2 linked regions of the Notamacropus eugenii genome follow. The protein of the gene in region 2 purifies or fractionates together with the protein of the main gene of each other region. This does not show direct contact. Links are inferred from orthologs where the notes say so. Each region holds a gene or a part of one and is shown on either strand. Other genes may lie near its edges.

The links. Proteins that work in one complex are often made in the same cells at the same time.
Region 1: the proteins of ADRB2 (region 2) and USP33 purify together in Homo sapiens (affinity purification with western blotting; 3 studies listed by BioGRID and IntAct, with this or other methods). This does not show direct contact. The link is inferred for Notamacropus eugenii from reciprocal best matches to the Homo sapiens genes ADRB2 and USP33.

Annotation. Positions count from the first base shown.
Region 1 is NC_092873.1:538,966,740-538,974,434, forward strand, and holds the start of USP33 (ubiquitin carboxyl-terminal hydrolase 33), read right to left. Parts: upstream 3,002-7,695; 5' UTR 2,763-3,001; intron 1-2,762. UniProt on the Homo sapiens protein: Deubiquitinating enzyme involved in various processes such as centrosome duplication, cellular migration and beta-2 adrenergic receptor/ADRB2 recycling.
Region 2 is NC_092872.1:409,722,850-409,730,052, forward strand, and holds the start of ADRB2 (beta-2 adrenergic receptor), read right to left. Parts: upstream 3,100-7,203; 5' UTR 2,811-3,099; coding exon 1,664-2,810; exon of another isoform or gene 889-1,663; intron 1-888. UniProt on the Homo sapiens protein: Beta-adrenergic receptors mediate the catecholamine-induced activation of adenylate cyclase through the action of G proteins. The beta-2-adrenergic receptor binds epinephrine with an approximately 30-fold greater affinity than it does norepinephrine.

The DNA.
Region 1 (7,695 bases), on a different chromosome or scaffold from region 2:
GAAGATAGGTGCCATTACTGTCCCCACCTTACAGGTGAGGAAACGGAGGCAAATTGGGTGAAATGACTTGGCTCAGGCTCACACAGCTAGCAAGTGTCTGGGGTCAGAGTTGATCTCCCCAAGAGGAGTCTCCCCGACTCTAAGCACCATGGCGCCCCCTAGATGCCCCAAGCCTTGCATACTTTGTTCATGCTTTCGCTGACCCAACTCCTCCATAGAGGGCTGTAATTCCATCGGTCGTAAAGACGCTGCCATACACTCATTTAAAAAATCTTCTAAAGAGTCTGAGTTGTTTCTTAGGGGGAGAACTGTGCCCCAGACCTGTGATTTAATTAAGAGAGAACTGCCCAGAGGCACTCTGGAAGCACACAGCAGACAGGAGGTTTGGCCCCAGCTCTTCCAGAATCCAAAACAATGCAGCTAATAATACAAGGAAAATTCAAGTTCATAGAAACGTTTCTCTGAACTGCTTTTCCACAACTAGTGTGAGCTGAAGGGACCGGAGAATGAGAGCCTGTGACTTCCCAGCCAGGCCCCAGGATCCTCCTCAGTCATCTGTCTTTTCAGCTCCTCCACTTCCTGACTTTCTTGGAGAATCTGACCATGGCTACAGTAAAGACCCCATGTTCAAGGCTACCGGGACAGAGGTCTCCCTCCCACTCTCTGTTTTACTTTTCACATTCCTCTGCACTCCCCCCTTTTCTAGCCTTTGTACATGAAAATGATCTCTTATTGAAGCTAAACTTGAAAGTATTTTTTTAAAAAGAAAACCTATTCTTATTAACAAAATTGTCCTTCATGGCTTCAGAAAAACCTGGGAAGACTTATATGAACATATGCAAATCGAACAGAACCAGGACACTGCATAGAAATAGCAGCACTGCAAGTTAGCGACTGTGAAAGACTCTGTTACTGGACCAAGACAATCCCAAAAAGGCTCTCCTCCTCCACAGACGGATGGACTCTGAGTGCAGATCAAAGCAGACTTGTTTTTTTAACCTGATTTCTTATTCTGTGTGTGTGTGTGCATGTGTTTTCTTTCACACCATGGCTAACATAGAAATACGCTTTGCATGAGCTCAGCGTATAATCAAAATAAAATTGCTTGCTTCTCAAGGAGGAAGAAGGGGTGGGAGAGAGAGGGAAAGAATTTGAGACTCAAAATTTTAAAAAATGATTGTTAAAAATTTTTTACATGTAATTGGGGAATAGTTGATGAAAAAAATAAAAGTAATTTTTAAAAAAAACACAGAATTGTCCTTCATATTAGACCTGTGCTCTCCTCCCTGGAAATTGTTGTGTTGGTTTTTTTTTTAATTCTTCTTTACATGGTTTATGTTTGATTTTCTATATCAAGGCTTTTTCTCCCAACTAGAGTATAAGTTCCCTGTAGGGAAGGATGGTTGTTTTTTGTCTTTGTCTTTATCCCCAGTGCTTAGGGCGAGGCCTGACAGGGGGGATGCTTAACGCTTTTTCAATAGAAGTCCACTGAGTGGATCTTCATCACCCACAGTCCCTAGATTCAATCTTCACTCCTAAGATATTCAGGCAATTGTCCTGAAACAAACGGATCCACTTCTGTCATTCCTTTGGAGACTACCCCAACCTCCTCCTCAAACAACGCACCCCAAACTTGGCCTGCAGAGCAGAGGACACCAGAGGAGAGGTCTCAATTCTCCCATCCCTCCTCCTGGCCTGCTGGAGAGAGACCTGCATTCAAATCCCGCCTGACTCAGCGAAGGTGGCTGGTGCAGGACTCACCTGGAATTCCCTCTTTCCCCTGCATGTTGCCCTTCTCCCCCAGACTCCCCTTCTTTCCCAGTCCACCCCTTTCATCTGCTCGGCATCTCTCTATCTGAGATGGACCTGACATCAATGACCGTGGGCTCCTTCTGAGAGGACAGGCCTCAGCCAGCCACCAGGCCTTTCTCTGGGGCTGCTTCTCCTGAGGACCCTCCGTTCTGATTAAGGCCAAACCTCCAAGCCTTTGAAAGTGTGAGCAACAGGTGCTGCTTCTGTAAGCTAAGAGAGCCAGAACTGTCCAGGAAGGGGCCCAGCCCCAGGCGCTGGGCCCAGGCCTGGCCACCCAGGATAGGCCACCCCGGACGGGCCACCCAAGACGGGCCAGCCAGGCTGAACCACCCCGGACGGGCCACCCCGGCCACAGCAGACTGACCCGGCCTGAGCCATGGCTCCGGTCAGACTGACCCTGGCTCGGCTATGGTCCCGGAGCGCCTCCACAGACATGGGACTGACCACAGGAGCCCAAGCATTAAGCACCGACTGTCTACAGTCTCACACCTTCCACCTGCCATCGGTGCCCTGGCTCGCACCCTGGTCACTGACCCCGGGGCCCTGCCCAAGGTCCAGCTCGGTCCCGTATTCTGTTTGAGGTGACCGGTGGGGGGACAAGCTGCCCGGGGCCCCCCACCTCGGGGGAGCGCCGGGCCCTCCTGCCCGGGTCCCACTGAAGCCGGCATTCAAGGCCCCGCCGCTGGGGGGCGGAGTGTCTCACCGGGGACCTCAGCCCTCCGCCCTAGGGGCCACACGCCCGGCGGCCCCTCGGGGCACGCCCCCATCCATAGCGCAGCCAGGGCTCCGTTAGGGCCCCGGCGGACGCCGCCCGGTCCTCGCATACAGCAGGCACTTAATAAGCGCTCGCGCAGAGCGGGGGCCAGGGGAGGCCGGGCTGCGGGCCAGGCGGCGGCTGTCATCTCCCTCCTCCGAGCGGGTGCCTCTCCCGCCCCCCAGGCCCCGCTCACCGTTCACGGTCACGGTCTCGGTCACGGTCGCTCGGGATCAGCGCCGCGGCAGCGAGGGCTCGTCCCACCCGCCGCCGCGGCCCCGCCTCCAGCGCCGGCCACGGCCCACGGCCCACGGCCCGCGGCGGGGCCCACGTCTTGCCTCGGTGCGTAACCTCCCGCCTCGGCCGCCGCCGCCGCTGCCGCCGCGCCTGCCTCCTTCCGGGGCCGCGGGCCCAGCCGGGAAGGGCGGGGCGGGGAGGGGAGAGGCGGGGGAGAAGGGGGAGGGGGCGGAGGGAGGAGGGAGGAGAAAGGAGGGACGGATGGTGAAGGGAGGAGAAGGGGAGCGAGCCCCGCCCCCGGGCTGGTGGGCAGGCGCACTCGCCCCGAGGGGCGGAGGGGGAGGGGAGAAGGGAATGAGCCCCGCCCCCGGGCTGGTGGGCAGGCGCACTCGCCCCGAGGGGCGGAGGGGGAGGGGAGAAGGGAATGAGCCCCGCCCCCGGGCTGGTGGGCAGGCGCACTCGCCCCGAGGGGCGGAGGGGGAGGAGGGAGGGGAGAGAGGAAAGAAGCCCGCCCCTGGGCTGGAGGGCGGGCGCACACGCCCCGAGGGGAGGGGAGGGAGGGGAAAGGGAAGTGAGCCCCGCCCCCGACTGGTAGGCGGGTGCACACGGCTCGAGGGAAGGAGGAGGGTTCAGAAGAGGAGAACGAGCCCCGCCCCCCGCGAAACAGGGCGGGGTTTTAGGGGGCAGGGCTCGGGAGGGGCGAGGCATAGAGTCCCGCCCCCTCCGTCTGGTACCGCCTCCTTCGGTTGGTTCTCCGGATATCTTGGGGTACACTGGGAGCTTCTTGAGGGTAGGGTCTGTCTGGTCCTTTCTTTGGGTCTTCATGATTGCCCACCAGCCACCCCGAGGCGGCGGACAGTTAGGGAGACCCCCCCCTTTGCTTTGGTCCCGACTCTTCCTGGAGCTCCTGACACCTCCTGGCCTCCCGTGAGTCCGTGGGCATTTATTAGGTGCCTGCTGTGTACAGCGCCCTCAGTCCGACGTCCTGGCCTGATTGTGCCCCCTTGGGTCCTGGGGACGGGGAAGGGGGGAGACTGGACAGCTCAGAGTCCTTCACGCCAGGAGATGGACCCCTTTGTCCCATCCCTGCCGTGGTCTCCCCAACAGATAGTAGCGCAGCATTTATGCAACCCTTTGGGGTGAGTTCTTGGTTTGGGGGTGAATTTGGGGAGGTGAATCTGCCAGCTTTTCCCTAGGAGCGTTTCCTGGGAGCCCACAGCAAGGACAAAGCCTGTGCAAACGGGCATTTACCGCTCCCCCCCATCGATCCTCTTCCCAGGGGAGAATGTGCTGTGGAACTTTGGGACCAAAGTCAAGGCCCATCTGTTGGGAAGGGCCTAGCCTCAGGCCCACCCATTGTGGTCCCAGAGGATGCTGCAGCGAGTGCCACTCCAGGGCGGGAAGGCAGAGGAGGAGCGGAGAAGATGACTAGCGGTCATCAGAGCCCTGCCACCCAGGCACTGGGCGACTCCATCAAGGTGAGCGCAAAGAATGACCCCTCCCAAAAAATCCAAAATGAACGGTGACCAGAAGACTGCCTCTTGGTGGAGGTCCCCTGGTCTCACACATGGCTGGAGCTCTCCTTTCCCCTAAAATACTATTTGTCATATGGAATAGCTCTCTGAAAGGGGGAGAGGGAGAGACACGTGAGATACTATGGTGAGGCAAGAAAGAGAAAATAGCCATAGAAACTTATTTTTTTAAAAAAATACTGCTGGGATAATTTCAGAAAAACCTGGAAAGACTAACATGAATTGATGCAAAGTGAAGCGGGCAGAACCAAGACCACATCGTACACATTAACAGCAACACTGTTGGAAGATCCACTAGGATGGACTTAGCTCAGGAATACAATGATCCAAAACAATTCCAAAGGATTCATGAAGAAAAATGCTGTCCACCTCTTTCCAGAGAAAGAACTGATGGAGTCTGAATGCAGACCGAAGCAAACTCTTTTTCACTTAATTTTTTCGGGGAGTTGTTTTTTTTTTTTTTGGTCTGTTTTCTAACAACTAATATGGAAATATGTTTTGCATGAGTGCACGTGTATAACCTCTACCAAACTGCTCACCTGCTCAGATGAGGGGAAGAAGAAAACAAGAAGGAAATTTGGAACCCCAAACTTTTTAAAATGAATATTAAAACTTGTCTTTATGTTTAATTGGGGAAAAACAAAGTATTATTAAAAAGAAAGAAAAAAGAAAAAATCTGATACTAAGCTGTGTCCTGAAGTTCTCTCCTCAGTCCTCCAGGCAGCAAACCTCAGAGCTCAGAAGGGACTTTTTCGGGGGAGGTCTGATTCAGGGAGGCCAATCAGGCCTGGGCTAGGATGGTGACACTCCCCCTCAGGGTCCTGGGGCACCCCAAGCCTTGAGGTGTTTTTGTTTTTCTAAATCTGTAGCCCAGAGCTTCCATTCACTGGGGTTGCATTCAAGAGAGGCTCTCCTTGAGTCTATTGAACCGATTAACTTCAATTAGCTTTGACGAAGGGATATTTGCTTTGAAGATACAGCAAGAAGGGAAATGGCAGGTTTCCCCTGTACCTCAGGGGTTCACTCTCCCCCATCCCAAGGACCGCGCTCATCCACAGTGGGGTTGCTGCAGTGCATGGGTCCCCAGTGCTCACCTCCCTGGCCTCAGCTCCCTGGTCAGTGCCTCAAAGCTGCATAGACTCTGCTTCTGGACCTTCACTGGCTCAGGTCACCTAGAAGGAATGAGCAAAAGCCTACATCTGCCTTCAGGGACCACATGGTTGGGGAGGGTGCAGGACTCAACCTTGGCCCTTGTCTGTCCCCTAGATCAGACGAACATGAAATCCACCTGGTGCCTTTGGAGTCTGATGCAGCCAAAGCCAGCCTGAGGGGCTCTAGTTCACCTACTAGGTGCGGTGCACATTCCTTGTGGGAACAGCATGAGTTGGGCACTCCACTTGCACTTGTGAGGACTGGGATCCTTGGCCAGCCACGCCTTCCTGGCTTCCAACTGGCTCAGGCCAGAGAGGCCAGTTCCTTTACAGAAAGACAATGGAAGAGCTGACATTTCTCCTATGTCTGCTAAGAGCTCTTTATCAGCTGCACAACAGTAAAAAACAATGCAGATCTATCTAATCTGATGAGTTAATCAAAAAAATTGGCAATGATGCTTTCCAATTATTCAACTGCAAGCACTGATCTGCTTTGAGAATGAAATATCCACTCTGCCCAAGTCGTTAGGACCTCAAGCACACATCTCTCTTCTATTTTGAAGTCCCAATGGCAGAGATTTTTAACAGAGGAATATTCTACAGTTAAAACTGAGCAAGGCTCCAAAGATTGGGTAACAGGTCAGTTAACAGGGTGCTTCATTAAATGGGACAATAGTTCACCGTTGGAGAATCATTTCTTTAAACCACTCATCTCCTCTTTGACCACTCCCTCCAAGGTTTCTCCTTGCCAGCTGGCCAAAGGTGAAATGAACTGAAGTAACTCAAGTAATCTATTAACTGAAGTCATCAAAGCAGCATCTTAGGGTTGACCCTTATCCTAACACCTTCAGGGCATGGGGGAAAAGCGAGCTGTTCTTAGATAAATCAGTCAGAGGGTCCTGGCTCTTCTCTGGTCCTGGAATTGATGGTTGAGAGAGATAGAGGAGGGTTCTCTTTCAGATTATTCCCAAGGTTTCAGGCAGGATCATTTTAAAGTGTTTTCTTAATATTGTTAAAAGGTAGGGAGCAAGAGGCAGCTGGTGGCACAGTGGAGAGAGCACTGGTCCCGGAGTCAGGAAGACCTGAGTTCCAATCCTGCCTCTGACACTTGGTACTTAATAACTGTGTGACCCTAGGCAAGTCACTTAACCCCAATTCCCTGAGGGGGCGGGGTGGAGGGGCAGGGAGAAGAGTTGGTTGGCTGGTAGGTTGTTGTCCTTTCTTCTCACAGAGAACGCAAATGACATCACTATGTTGGGGTCAAGTTACAATGTGTCCACTCCAACTGTAGCTGATCAGACCAATAGGAGCTTGGAATGCTCTACCACAGGTCAGACACAAATTGTCCATGTGAACATTCAGAGTGGTGATGTCTCTAAATCTGCATATCTGGTGGGTTTTTTTAAGCTACTGCAATTCTGCTTTGCTCATAGAGCACAACACCCTTTCTGATGTGGGCACACTGTGCTGGGCAGTCCTGTGATCCTATACTAGTGTCTCCCATGTCACATAATCAACTCCAAAGTTCCTAAAAGAGACCTTGAGAGTGTCCTTGTATCACTTCCTCTGACCAAGAATGAACATCTGCCCTGTGAGAGTTCTTCATAAAAGTCTTTTAGCAAATATAAATTTGGCATTTGAACAACTTTTGGCATTCAAACACGTGGCCAGCCCTTTGGAACTGTACTCTCTGTAGTAGAGTTTGAATGCTTGGCAGTTCAGTTTGGGTAAGGACCTTAATGTCTGGTACCTTATCCTGCCAGGTGATCCTCAGAATCTTCCTAAGACAATTCAAATGGAAGTGATTCAGTTTCCTGGCATGGTGCTGGTAGACTGCCCAGATTTCTCAGGCCAACAACAATGAGGTCAGCACAGTGGCTCTGTAGACCTTCAGTTTAGTAGGCAGACTAAAACGTTTTCTCTCCCATACTGTCCTTTGGAGCCCCCCAAACACTGAGCTAGCTCTGGCAATGCGTGCATCAACCTCATTGTCAATATGTACATCCCTGGAAAGTACACTACCAAAGTAAGTGAACTTATCTACAGAATTCAATATTTGTCCATTTGTTGTAACCAATGGTTCCATGTATGGATGATGTGGTACTGGCTAGTGGAAATGTTTTCTTGGTGTTAATTGTTGGGCCAAAATGAGCACAGGAAGCAGAGAATTGATCCATACTTTGTTGCATCTCAGCTTCAAAGGCTGCAT
Region 2 (7,203 bases):
TCAGTTTTTCATTAGGCAAATGGGGCTATGCCACATGAAAGCATGGGAATCCAATGAAGTAATGGGTCTGTAAAGAGCTCTGTAATTTTGATGGGCTATGTAAATGAGAACTATAAGTCTGATTATTATTGAACTGAACTGAAGTTTTTACTTGATCACAATTTTACTTCATCATAGGATACTAAATCTAGAGCTGCAAGGACATCAGAGGCCAGCTAATAATCCAGCCTCCTCTTTTTACAGATGAGGAAACAGAGGTCTAAGTTAGCTAAGTAATTTCACTAAGGTCACTTGGGTAATAAGTATCAGTGGGCACTTGAACCCAGCTGCTTTTTTCATCCCTCTTTCCACTGTACCACCATCTTCCCACGGATAATTTTGGAATAAAGAATTAATGGGAAATTGACAACTTCCCATTAATAATAAATAATAATTTTATTATTGAATAATCATTAAATATATTTACATATCAATAATACATAAATAGGTACACTAATGAGCAACATAAGCAAATCAGAGAAGCCTGATTTAGGGTAGAAGGATTATGTGAGACGTGTTTATTATAACATTCAATGCCAACAGACTTAAGCTATGTGTAAGTGTAATTCCAGGAAGTGTGGCATGAAAAAAGAAGACGAGCTAGAGCAAAAGCCCTGGGTTTAAGTCTCCATCAACACTTTGTAGCCATATGACCATAGGCAAGTCCCTTCCTTCACCTCCTGAACCTTGAGCTCCTTAATACAATGGAGATGATATTTCCCCCTATACACCTCACAAAGCTATGGAGAATAGCACTAGGTAAAACTGGTAAACACCACAGAAATGTGAGGTCTTATTGTTACTATTAATTCACCATTAAGTCACTGGACAGCTATTACAAACAGTTACCTGTGGTTTCCAACAAGAATGTTCCGCTGGGGGGATTTGGACAAACAGGTGTAATGATGTCACAGCAAAACAATTTATTTACTGTAAACTTTAGACTTTGCTCATTCAACAGCAGAAGCTGTCCCCTCTGTGTCCCTGCCTCCAATAGCCCATGTGAGCCAATAGGAGGATAAGACGAATCCATATGGACAGCCAGGTCCGGCTGGAGCATCCGCAAGGCCCAGGGGGAAGGCTTGCTCCTCCAGATAGATGTCCCAAGTAGAAGTATGCTAACCCTAATACTTGACAAATGAGGTAGATCTAGAAGAAAGTCATCCAAACTCGACCAAGTCCTCAAGGTCTGAGATCCTTGAAGTGGGATATACACTTCCAAACTCCATTCCAGGCAGAACCCACCTGTTACAGAAATGCAGAATCCCTAGAACTGGTGGGTGAGTTATTTTGTTTCCTGTTAACTTAAAAACTTAAAAAATAAATAGGCTAAGTCTGTCCTCCTCCACCTGCCCATCTCTCTCTAGGCTGACTAGACATTTCTAGCTCAGGAGTTAGAGTGTGCTTAGTATTTGAGTGTTGGTGACGAGTTGTTTTTGTGGATTGTTTTGGGGGGGGGGGAGGGTTGGTGGTTGCTGTTCTTTTAAAAAGTGGATTCTTTCTTTTTCCCCACCTTGCTTGGTTTGCTGAGGGTTTTTTACCAACCAGAGAGACAGTCACAAGGGGGTATCATCCAGAGTCTGATCCTGGCTCTCTAAGGTCGCGCTAGCATTAGGCACAGTACCTGCACAGTTCAAAAAGCCCTCAGTGCCTGGGAGGTCTTCATACAGCAGCTCGATCTCCTTCTCCTGCTCGGTGGGATAGCTCCCTCGCTCCTCGTTGGGCTCACTTCTCCCATTGCTGTTGCTGGAGTGGCCATTGCCATAGAGCTTCAGGGCTGACCTCCTGAAACAGAGGAGCTCCTGAAAGGCATATCTGAAGTCCGGGCTCCGGCAGTAGATCAGCGGGTTGAAGGCTGAATTGGCGTAGCCCACCCAGTTCAGAAAAATGTACACATATTTGGGGACAATGTTGTCCTGTATCGCATGGACAATGTTAACAATGAAGAAAGGCAACCAACAGAGGGTAAAGGTCCCCATGATGATACCCAAGGTCTTGAGAGCTTTATGTTCCTTCAAACAGAACTTGGAAGACCTTCGGTGACTTGTCCTTCCATTTTGCTCCATCTGGTTGCTGTTCTGGACATGAAAGCGGCCCTCAGATTTATCTATCTTCTTAAGTTGCTTCTTGGCCACCTGGAAGACCCGGGAGTACACAAATACCATGACCACCAGAGGCACATAAAAGGACACAATAGAGGAAGCAATGGCATAAGCCTGGTTAGTGAAGAAGTCACAGCAGGTCTCCTTCTCATAACATGAGAGAGCTTCCTGGTGGCTGGCACGATACCAGTGCATCTGAATGGGCAGGAAGGAGGTGAGGGCCGATACCACCCAGACCACTAGGATGACCACCCTGGCCTTGCCCTTGGTAAGCAGACTCTGGTACCGAAAAGGTGCTGTGATGGCGAAGTAGCGGTCCACAGCAATAACGCAGAGGGTCTCGATGCTAGCTGTGACACACAGAACATCAATGGAGGTCCAGAACTCACACCAAAAGTTCCCAAAGGTCCACATTTCCATGAGGATGTGACTGGCACCAAAAGGCACCACTGCCAGCCCCATAACCAGGTCAGCACAAGCCAGTGATGTGATGAAGTAGTTAGTGACTGTCTGCAAACGCTGGAACCTGGCGATGGCTGTGATGACCAGCACATTGCCAAACACAGTGGCTAGAACTATAATGGACATGACAATGCCCAAGCCCACCATCCACGCTTCACCCTTCTGAATGGTGGCGTTTAAAAAGCTGTGGCTCAAGTTGGCAGACATGACCCCCCAAGCTGTCCCCCCGGGGGGCGGGGCCGTCCCTGGAGGTCCACAAGCCTTGATTGAGAGTACCCCGCTGCCAATCTCTTCTTGGCAGGGGCTCAGCTCCCTGAGAGTCCCAAGCAGCTGCTCGCCCGACGAGGGCCCGTCATTCAGTCTCCGTAAGGTGCACAGGACCTCCAGGAACAGAGGGGAAGGAGGAAAGCAGGGCGCGCCCCAGTCTGAGGATCTGACCTTAGGAACAGCGAAAGCGGCAGCTTCTCGCAGCGAGCGCGCAGACTGCAAGTGCTCGGAGCCCGCTATGCGCCCCGGACTTCAGAACTTCGGTTGTCCCCCGGCCCGCCTCCATCCGATGACGTTATGTTACTTTCGGCCAATGGTGTGAGGGAGACCCCGCCCCTCCCCCCCTGCTGCTGGGAGTCCCGGCCCTCCCCGGAGCCGCACCTTATTCAGGGCGCGCTGAATGTGGAAGATCTGGGCTCTGGGTTTCCGCGGGAGCCCCAGGGGGTGCAGCTCTGCCTGCCCCGGCCTTGCAGACTGGACGCCCCGTTGGGAGTCAGCAGATCCCAGGAGACACACACATGTAATGAGATGCGGAGAGACAGTCACACACACAGACAGGCATACCGAGAAAAACGTTAGCGCACACAGACGCAGAGATCCAGAGAGAGAGACCGAGAAAGACATAGGTACACAGGCACACGCGAAGACGCAAGAACACCGAGTAACTCTAACCCTAATTATGTAACTATGGTACCTAGACACACACAGACACAGGCATACAGACACATGGGTACGCGCACCAAGAAACAGTTGTAAACATTGGGACAAAGACAGTGGCACACAGAGAGCAACAGGCAGTGAATGACACACACACAGACGCAGAAACAAACACATTCTCACAGGCACAAGCGCACTTCTTTTAGATTAGTTGAAAAACTGAAGTCTGACAGCGTAGTCAGTCAGTCAATCAACAAACATTTAATTAAGCGCTGTGCTACGCAATGAAGACACAAAGGGCAAAAGCAGTCCTCGCCCTGAAGGACATCATTTTCCGAGGAGGGCAACAGTACACAAACAGCTATGTATGTACAAGATATATATACAAGGTAACTGAAATGTGGGTGATCTCAGAGAGGGACAGGGTAAGGCTTCTTGTAGGTTTAATAACAGAGAAGTCCCTTTTTTGCAGGAAAGATGTTATTTATCCTAATCTCCATGGTCATTGCTTGAGCATGTAATGAATGTTACAATTCTTTTTCATCCTTAGGCTCACACATTTAGAGATGGAAGAGACCTCAGAGATCACATCTAGATCTTCCTTTCATTTTATAGATGAGGAATCCATGACTTAATGAAGAAATGACTCATTACAAAGACTTAGGCAATGAATAACAGAATCTGAACCCTCCTTCTTTTATTCCAAATCCAAGGAATCCAAATCCAAATCACTCCACTGCACCCCACTGAGTCCCAGAGAGTTGCGTTTATTTTCTTTTTCTTCTATTTCTTTTTTGGAGAGTGAAAGATTTGAAGGTGGGATAGAGGACCCAGGGAAACATGTTGTTTATTTTTAATGCAAAGGACAACATTTTTCTAGTCTGATTTCATTTTCTTTTCTTTTTTTTGCCTGATTTCATTTTCAAGTGAGAATACTTCAAGTTTCAAGGTTAAGTATCGGATTTATTGTACACTCACTCTGATTTCCACATGCACTTGCATTAGCATGATAGTCTACTCTGCACATCTGCACATAGTCCCATGGAGCAAATGTCAAAGCTTACAGATATCAGAGGGTGCCCACCTGCATCTGAAGAGAGCTCCTCCATTTGGGAGTTCCCTTTACCAATGGAATCACATGATCACAGGATCATAGGTTCAGTGCTAGAATAAACCTTAAAAGGTATCTATCAAGCTCAAGTCCCTGATTCTACAGATGAGGAATTAAGGTCCAGTGAGGTTGTTACTTACCTAAGGTCACAGGGTAGAAATAAATGGCAGAGCCAGGATTTGAAAAGAATAAAGGTACTCAGTAACAATAGCTAGTATCTGGTGCTTTACAAATTACCTTACATCCATTATCTAAGCTTCATAACAGTTCTATAAGGTATGTATTATTCCCCCCTCCCCCTTTTTTTTAGATGGGGGAATTGAGATTGAGAAAAGTTAGGTGACTTGTCTGAAATCACAGAACTAGTTAGTGGCAGAATTAGGATTTGAACTTCTGTCTTCTGACTTCAGATCCGAAATGCTTTTCACTACCTAACATTGGTAGCTATGTAACAACAGTTTTCATTTATTCGACACTTGATGATTACAAATCACCCCGTATCCATTATCTTCTTTGATCCTTACAGCATAAGGATGACAGCAGAAGCAGCGGTTATAATAGCCCTGAGGGCAAGGGAATGCAAATGTTATACCCACTGATGAGGAAACTAGGAAACTGAAGCAAAATGAAAGTCTGGACAACAGCTGTGGTGGATCTAGAACTTGAATTCATGTCTCTCGTAACAGAGTCTGGAATCACACACACCCCTGCATCTCTCCAAATGGTGTAGCATGAAGTTCCCTTTATAGCCACAGTAGATACTTTCCAAAGACTTTGGAGTTTATTAGAGGCAAAGTGGTGAAGCAGAGATTTGACCTCGGAAGACCCAGTTCAAGTCCTGCCACTGATACATACTGACCCTGGGCAAATTACTTAACATCTCTGTTCTAGGCAACTCTCGATGACTAGAAATTGCTAAAATAGTGCCCACCTGCATTTGGGAAGGAAATCTCATCTGGGGCTCTCCCTAAACCAATCAAATTGAAGATCTAATGCCCATCTACTATTCCTGTTGGTCTTATTATCTGGCTGAAGTACATGTGTATTGAAACAAACTTCCTTAGGGTATTTAGTAAAATCAGTTTATTAGATGATGCATGTGGGTGTTGTATCTAGTGCAAATTGGTCAGGCAGTCTTCACCAACACGCACTAATGTTCACATGAATAGCCTTCAGCGGGCACCTAATTTAAGTCCTTTATTTTACAAGTGAGGAAACTGAGGCACAAAGAGTCTAAATGGCTGGTCCAAGATCAAATGGGTAGTAAGTAGTAGAACTGAAATTCAAACCCAGGTCATCTGACCACAGATCCAGGGCTCATTCCATTGTACCACACTGCCTCCCAGAGGGAGGGGAGGAGAAGAGAGGGAAGGCAGAATTGTAAGTAGATCATAGACTTAGGGCTGGAAGGGATCTTAAAGGTCTTCTCCAACCCCCTCATTTTACAGATGAGGAAACTGAGACCTAAAGAGTTTAAGTGATTTGTCCAAATTTGCACAGGTAAGTCCCCTAGCGGTTAATTCCCTCCTTCTATTCATTGTAAGGGTTTAGATATAATATCTGTGTGTGTGTGTGTATGTGTGTGTGTGTGTGTGTGTGTGTGTGCATGCATTTAGACATTATCTCCTCCACCAGACTGTATACTCGAGTTTCACTTTTGTCATTGTAGCCCCAGCAGTTAGCACAGACTTGCCATTAAAATAAATCTTTAATAAAAATGTTGTTTGAGTGATTGTAAGTAGCAGTGGTTTGAACCCAGGTCCAATGACTCCAAATTCAGAACTCCATCCACTGGACCACATTGTAGTCTGTCTTCAAGGAGCAGAGTTGAGAAATAGTGTTTTTGGCAGGCAGCGATGCCTATTTGCACAGCTATTATAAATCAAGAAATTGTATGAATCGATGCAATAGCTATTTATTGAGAACTTAGTGTGAGTACATGTTGTAGTTGAAAGAGGATTGGATTTGGAGGCAGAAGACCTGGATTTGAGTCTTAAGCTCAGCTCCCTTCCAGCACTGTGGTCTTCAACAAGTCACTTCCACTCCCTGGGTCTCAGTTTCCTCAACTATAAACTGAGGGAAATGCACTCACTTGATTATCTCGAAGTGCCTTTTTAACTCAAAATCCTGTGATGTATAAAATTTGGCCAAGCTTGCACAACATGCATACCACATTCCTGTGTTTTCACATTGGACTGTAACATGAGGGATTGGGGGAATTAATAATGTTTGTTTTGTAACACCATTTCCTTAAAAAATGAAGTTCAGTCTCTCATTAGTTTCCATCTGGCTTACCGCAGCAACTTACTAATAAGACTTGCTATCTCCACCCTTGTGAATCCAACCAGGTGTCCAGTAAATCTAATCAAAAGAGGTTTAAAATAAAAAGAATGAGGGAAAGAGACAACTAAATGGCACAGTAGTTAGAGGCCTGGAATCAAGAAGACCTGTGTTCAAATCCAGCCTCAGACTTAGTTGTGTGACCATGGGCAAGTACCTTAATCTCTATGTGATTATTGTTATGAGTATAAAATAAGATAATATTTAGAAGCTGAGGCATCCAGA